Pelodiscus sinensis: one gene and its partner. The protein of the gene in region 1 interacts with the protein of each later gene in a pairwise test. Links are inferred from orthologs where the notes say so. Each region holds a gene or a part of one and is shown on either strand. Other genes may lie near its edges.

The links.
Region 2: the proteins of EXOC1 (region 1) and SFR1 interact in a two-hybrid assay, tested with the Homo sapiens proteins (2 studies listed by BioGRID and IntAct). The link is inferred for Pelodiscus sinensis from reciprocal best matches to the Homo sapiens genes EXOC1 and SFR1.

What each region holds. Positions count from the first base shown.
Region 1 is NC_134715.1:84,576,412-84,580,159, reverse strand, and holds the start of EXOC1 (exocyst complex component 1), read left to right. Parts: upstream 1-1,130; 5' UTR 1,131-1,346; intron 1,347-3,748.
Region 2 is NC_134718.1:70,960,956-70,964,703, reverse strand, and holds the start of SFR1 (swi5-dependent recombination DNA repair protein 1 homolog), read left to right. Parts: upstream 1-1,011; 5' UTR 1,012-1,109; intron 1,110-2,486; exon of another isoform or gene 2,487-3,748. UniProt on the Homo sapiens protein: Component of the SWI5-SFR1 complex, a complex required for double-strand break repair via homologous recombination. Acts as a transcriptional modulator for ESR1.

The sequences.
Region 1 (3,748 bases):
TATGGATTTCTTCATTTCTTATCCAAAACTCTTGGGTGGTTTTGCAAAGTACTATTAAATAACTTCCGCTTTCAATTCCAGATATATCTGCTTTTCCATTATGTGTAAGGTGAGCCATTTGGCCTTTACTTATCTGAAATTGGGGTTATGGGACTTAATGTAAAGTGAATTTACTACTCAAACAATGTGTTATGTTGTGTCGCAAATACTCCCACTCCAGTATTCATGGATATTGTCATTTGCAAGGATCTCAAGAACATATCGCCCCATGAATAGCGAGGACTTCTTGTGATCACAATTGTATTCTGTATTGTAATTTAAATCAATATGTATTAAAATGTAGAAAAATGCCAAAAATTTAATACATTTCAATTGGTATTCTATAGTTTAACAGTGTGATTAACTAAAAAATAAATTCTGCTTGGTCACAATTCTAATCAAGAGTTAACTGCAACTGACAGCTGTAGTAATTAATGTTACTTCCAAAACAAAAATATCCCCAATTTTTTAAAAAAATTATAAAATCTTTTAGCTGTCTCCATCACAAAGCCATACACAAACATCATATACCTCAATATGCAATCAACGTTTGCTTTTGTTGCATCCTACTTAGAACCATCATTTGGTGTTTTGTCTACCTGGTTGCAAACTCATTGGGACCAGGCACTTTATCTCCATATTTTCAGGTAAAGCTCTGCATAAGGAATGAGACTAATAGTATTTTACATGCCATTTGGACTGAATTAACCCCGTCAGTGAGAAGTAGAGGGCAATTCTCTCTGGAGTTAGGCTGCATCCCCAGATCACCTGCCAAAGGGATTCTAGTCAGCAGAAAGATAAATGTTAAAACATACATTTTAAAATGTAATTCTGCTCTCAGGTGCTTTGGGGGCCCGACTCTGATGACCCTGCTGCCCCACTTTGCTCCACTCTCCCCATGCACACCACAGGAGTTAATGAGCCTTCCGCCTCCCACAGTCCCAGATCAGCTGCCCCCCATCTCCTCCACAGGTGAGCCCTCTCCCTCATGCCTGAGCTCCTATTGGCTCGTTCCACCGTTTCCCCGCCCAGTTCCTCGCAGAGCGCGGCGGTGGCCGGGCTGTTGTCCCTCCTGCCGGCAGGGGTCGCCCTCTTGAGACGCGGCAGCCCTGAGGCCCCTCCCAGTGGGCTGCGGTGTTTCCGGACCCTGTCACGTGACAGGAAGAGGTCGACGCCGCGGTTCTGCGTTGCGGCAGCCGCGGCCGGATCTCTGCGAACGGTGGCGTTAGATGGGTCGGAGGCGGAGCCGCTGCGGCCTAAGGAGGAGCCACCACCCCAGCCCCTGCGCCCGCCTGCGCGGCCCCGCGGTAAGGGAGGGGGGCGTCGGCTCCGGTAGCCCCGCTGTGCACAGAGAGCTGCGAGCATCCCTCGCGCGGAGCCCAGCGGCCCCGCCTGCGCCTGGCTCCCGGCTCTGCAGGGGCAGCCCCGCGCGCTGTGGCCTGACCCCCCCCCCCCCGGCCCCTCTCTCCCTCCTCGCCATCGGCGGCGGCCACGGGCATCACGCCGACCGGGCCCCGCGGCGTCACACGTGTCTCCCGGCACCGAGCGGGGGCCAAGGGGCGCGGTCCCGTCGGGCCAGGCTGGGAGCGCCCCGCGGGAAACGCGTCAGCAAATGGGGTAAAACCCGCAGCGCCCGCGACGTGGGTTCAATGTCTCTCTCGAATAGACCGGAGTGTGTGTTGCCCGGGATCTCGGAGGCGTTTAGGTGCAGTCTCGGGAGGGGGGACTGGGTCTGTGCTGGGACAGGGGCCAGTCCTGCTGCCTGCTCCGTGCCGGATACAGGACATTCACCCTGGGAGTTCAGCATATGTAGCTGTCGTGGCGAGGCATACGTTGAAAGCTTGGAACGGGCTGTTCATTATAATCTGTATAATCTCTTCTGCATATATTGCAGATAATACTGACACCAGAGACAAATAGGACTAGCATATGTATGATGTAGGGGACCTAAGCACAACTAACAGTCAGTGCTAACTCTTAAGTTGCTCTAGTTATGTTATTTAGGGGTAACACTGGAGACCTGTAGTTAAGTTGATCTAAACTTAACTAGTATGGAGGCCACTAGTTAAATTACATAATTTACTTAACTTAAATTGTAACTTAGATTGATTTACAGCAGGTGGGAGCCAATACACTCAGGGAGCCAGCTTTTAAGTTGGCCCCCTGTGCATGCTGTACAGAGCTGCCTCCCACCCACCTGCACTCATGGCTCCCACAGAAGCAGCAGCATGGGTTAGGGCAGCCAGGAGCTGGTTCTCATGGGGAGTCTGCTTAAAAGTGGGCTCTCTGCAGGCACTGGCTCCCGCCTCCTTTCCCCACATGTAAAAGTGTACCTGCTAAAATGTTCTGCTAGTACACAATTATACAAATAACACATTTTAACATCCCTAATGTACACATTGTTCTGGTAGCTTTGGTAGCGTCTAAGGAAAATGTTTTGCTGGGTTTAATCTGTGTTGTGATATCAGTACAGCCTATGGCAGTGTTTCCTCAATGGTGTTCTGTGGAACCTCGGGGTTCAAAGTGAAAATAAGGGTTCTGCAAGAAAATATTGTCATTTTTGTTTTTAAATATTTGCAATTAAACTAAATGGTGATCTCATGACCTTGTTTAGCATTTGTTTATTATTATCCTTACTTATTTGTGGTCTCCTTTTTCAGTTCCATATATAAGACTCTTATTAGGGGTTCTGCAAAATTCTTTCAAGTTTAAAAGGGTTCTGTGGCCAAATAAAATTGGGAAACATTGGTCTACGGCATCTCACTAGACACTTATGTAATCTCATGTACATCTTGAAATAGAGAAGGAGACAGCTTCTAAGAATATTTAGGTAAGATGATTATGGAAGAGAAGCAGGTACTGATTGCTACAGTGTGTGCAATTAGAGAGAAATGAATGGTATTGCAGATTATTCGTATTACTCTTTTATTACTTTATCTGCCTTTGAGCCAGGGTCATGGGTGAAGACTGCATTGTGCTAGGTGCTACACAAACACAGTACTGAAAGATAATTCTTGGCCAAAGGAGCTTGTACTCTAAAGACAAGACATGAGACAACATATGGATTCAAACAGATGGAGTACAAGGAGACAGAGACAATATTGGTCGTAAACAGTGGTCACAGCATATGAGCCCCCCTATCATCAAGGGTGATGGTTTGCTTTTTTTGAGGGGTGGGAGCATCACAGCGAGAGAAAGTATTAAGGAGGGATATGAAGGAAGATAAGTGGATAGCTTTTTGAATGTTTATGGTGAGCTCTTCTCAAGTACAAGTGAGAGTATGAGAGAGAGCACAAAAGTGCTTATTTGAAAACTAACAAGTGAATTATGAAGGCTGACCTCATGGGCCAATTGGAGGTGATGATCAGTAGCCAATGAAAGACAAGCAAGGTGCGGATTGTCTATGAAAGTACTTGAAAGTGAAAATGAGCAGTTTAATGTTTGATATCCTAAAGGAGGGGGAGCTAGTGGAGGGATGCAAAGAGGGATAACATTGTTGAAGTTGCAATGCTGCATTGTCTCATTTAGCTGTGTTAGGTTCATAGTACTTACAGTGAACTGCAGCAAAAATTGCAGAGGCTATAAGATCAAATGGCAAATGTGTAGGGGCATATTACAGTCACTATTTAGTAGTAGTTAGGAATCTTCAACCCCACCTTTCAAAAGTGGCACTCTTTGTTACTTTCAAGACAAAGAAGATAAAACAGTT
Region 2 (3,748 bases), on another chromosome or scaffold:
AGATAATCTAAATGCCAGCTAAAACGGCCTTCTTGGTTCCTATTTCTGTTTTTCCTTCAGAATACCTAAGGGTACGTCTACACAGCAGCATTATTCCGAAATAACGTATTGCGCGTCTACACAGCAAGCCCATTATTTCAAAATAAATTTGAAATAATGGACTTCTTACTCCAACTTCTGTAAACCTCATTGTATGTAAACCTATTTCGAAATAAGCGCTGTGTAGACGTGCCCACATTTGAAATAAGCCTATTTGGGTAGCCTGTTTAGATTTTAGCCCTGCTGTGTAGAGGTGCCCTAAGTGGGTGGTGCCAAGTGGTAACAATGGAGCAGCAGCAGATCACACAGGAATCGGTCCGGCCAAAATGGGCTACGCCAGGTCTGCCCCAAGAACGAGCCCACGGGCTGAAGGAGCAGAGATGGTCTCCCATGTCATGGGGGCTTGTTTCCAGCCAGTTTTTTTGCTCCTGTGAGGGAGAAGCTGGCCCAGTTTGAGTGAAATGCCCAGGGGCAATTCTCCCATTGCCACAGGACTGGCACTTGGGGTGGGCCACGGCCCAGCTGAGAGGTTGAGTGCAAGGCACTGGGTCGACTGGAGCAAGGCGGGGATCACTGGTCACCCCCTGGCGTGACTATTTGCTGCTGTTTTGTCATGGGCTAACCAGCTACCTCATCTTGGGGGGTGAGGCGTGGGGGCTGCCCACTGGCTGGGGGCATTGCACAAAGCTGAAGGGGGTGGTTAGAAATTAAGCACCTGAGTTCTCCCTCGCCCTGACTCCTAATCAGCCTGGGCCAGGCAGCTCTACAACCCCAACCTCCTGCCCCCAGGTGGGCACCCGCCCTGCTCCACTCATTCCCGCCCGCCCGAGTCGCTCCCCTCTGGCCACGTCCACCCCGGGAGCGGAGTGTCTCTTCGCGCGCCCGACCGCGTGCTGTGCCTCTGCTGCCCTGGGAAAGGGGGCGGGCTCGGAGCGCCTCTTTCCTTCGCGCGCCCGCCCGCCCGCCTCGAACTCGTCGGCTCCTCCCCTCTCGCGAGCGCGGCGGGAGACTGGAGCCGTTTTAAACCCGCCCGAGCCGGGGGCCGCAGCCGGCGCACTGAGGAGCGTGAGGTACCGGGGGGGCCCCTCCAACCCCCCCCCCGCATGTGTGGGCGGGGCCTGGCCCCGGGCTAGCGGGGTGACCCCCCCGCATGGTATTGCCTGGGGGGGCTATGTGGAGTGATCCCCCCCCCCGCATGGTATTGCCTGGGGGGGGGCTATGTGGAGTGATTCCCCCCCCCCCGCATGGTATTGCCTGGGGGGGGGCTATGTGGAGTGATTGCCTGGGGGGGGCTATGTGGAGTGATCCCCCCCCCCGCATGGTATTGCCTGGGGGGGCTATGTGGAGTGATTCCCCCCCCCCCCGCATGGTATTGCCTGGGGGGGCTATGTGGAGTGATTCCCCCCCCCCGCATGGTATTGCCTGGGGGGGCTATGTGGAGTGATTCCCCCCCCCCGCATGGTATTGCCTGGGGGGGCTATGTGGAGTGATTCCCCCCCCCCCGCATGGTATTGCCTGGGGGGGGCTATGTGGAGTGATTCCCCCCCCCCCGCATGGTATTGCCTGGGGGGGGGCTATGTGGAGTGATTCCCCCCCCCCCGCATGGTATTGCCTGGGGGGGCTATGTGGAGTGATTTCCCCCCCCCCCGCATGGTATTGCCTGGGGGGGGGGCTATGTGGAGTGATTTCCCCCCCCCCCATGGTATTGCCTGGGGGGGGCTATGTGGAGTGATCCCCCCCCCGCATGGTATTGCCTGGGGGGGGCTATGTGGAGTGATTCCCCCCCCCGCATGGTATTGCCTGGGGGGGCTATGTGGAGTGATTTCCCCCCCCCCCCGGCATGGTATTGCCTGGGGGGGGCTATGTGGAGTGATTCCCCCCCCCGCATGGTATTGCCTGGGGGGGGGCTATGTGGAGTGATTCCCCCCCCCGCATGGTATTGCCTGGGGGGGGGGCTATGTGGAGTGATTCCCCCCCCCCCGCATGGTATTGCCTGGGGGGGGGCTATGTGGAGTGATTTCCCCCCCCCCCGCATGGTATTGCCTGGGGGGGCTATGTGGAGTGATTTTCCCCCCCCCCCGCATGGTATTGCCTGGGGGGGGGCTATGTGGAGTGATTCCCCCCCCCCCATGGTATTGCCTGGGGGGGCTATGTGGAGTGATCCCCCCCGCATGGTATTGCCTGGGGGGGGCTATGTGGAGTGATTTCCCCCCCCCCCGGCATGGTATTGCCTGGGGGGGGCTATGTGGAGTGATTTCCCCCCCCCCGGCATGGTATTGCCTGGGGGGGGCTATGTGGAGTGATTTCCCCCCCCCCCGGCATGGTATTGCCTGGGGGGGGCTATGTGGAGTGATTTCCCCCCCCCCCCGGCATGGTATTGCCTGGGGGGGGCTATGTGGAGTGATTTTCCCCCCCCCGCATGGTATTGCCTGGGGGGGGGGCTATGTGGGGAGCCCAGGGCTAGTGGGGGACCCTGCTGGCCCCGTGCTTCCCTCAGTGCTTTTGCCTTTGAAGTGTAGCAACCCCCTCCTCTTCCTCTCCCCCCTTGCTGCCTCTTTCTGCTAGAGGCAGCAAGGGGGGGAGCGACTAGTCAACTAGTGTGTCAACTGTCTGATAAGCATTTGCCCATCGGATAGTCAACTAGTCATTCACATGCCTAATAAGAGCTAGGTATTAATGTAACTTCATTGTCCGTGAGCTTTGCACCCAAATTAACCAATGCAGAGCTACATTGGTAGCTCTTATGGGCTAATCAAATAGTCAATGCAAATTGCATTGACTATTCAATTAGCCACTTAATTTAAATTTAACATCCCTAGCTCTTATAGTGTCTGTTCACTGTACATCTGAAAGCTGTTCAGAAAGTAAGCAGCATTATTGTGCAGTAGGGGAAACTGAGGCAAGGAAGGGACCAGCCCAAAGCCTCACTGTAAGTCAGTGGCAGAGCAGAGGAAAAGATAATGCTCTCCTAAGTCACAGTGGTTCTATTTACAATGGAAGAAGCAGTTTTTACATGTTAAATAGTGTTTTTGCATAGGAATAAAATTGATCCTGATTCATAAAGGGAGGATTCTTGCTATGCAGGACCAAGTTGCTGAGACCTGTGGAGAAGTGCAGTTATAGATGCATGCTGATACCTGGGCACCCTTGGAAAATTTGATTTAGTAGAATAATGTCTTGAAGAAGAGTAACCTGTGTGAAGGCCAACAGTGAACCATTGAATTTCAGAAAGGCATTGAGAATTTTGTTGAAGGCCGTTTTCAGGTTTTAAAATGTTCTCTTGCTTAGTAGGGAGAGATTTACCACATAATCTGTGAAATACTGTACTGTATAGGTATGGTGTATATTTTTCCTAACGTCTTACTTCATAGTTTAAGTAGCTTACCACTATGCTATGAAAATAATTTATCACTGTTACATTCTGCAAATGCTACCCATTTCAGATATTAGTTGCTAAGACACATGACTAACAGCCTTTAAAAAAATAGCCTAAAATAGAATAGTGTGTGCTGAATCTTGAATGTAAAGGGTAACGTAGTTTTGGTTTAGCAGTAAGACAAATAAGGTTAATATCTTGTCTATGCAGACCTGGCCTGGATTGCCTTGTCACTTTTTGTTTCAAAGAGGATTTGGAGAGCTGCAGGTTTAGTGTTAAAAGCCTGTTGTTGAGAGAGTACTTCATGTAAATTTAAACAAGCTATGTGATCAG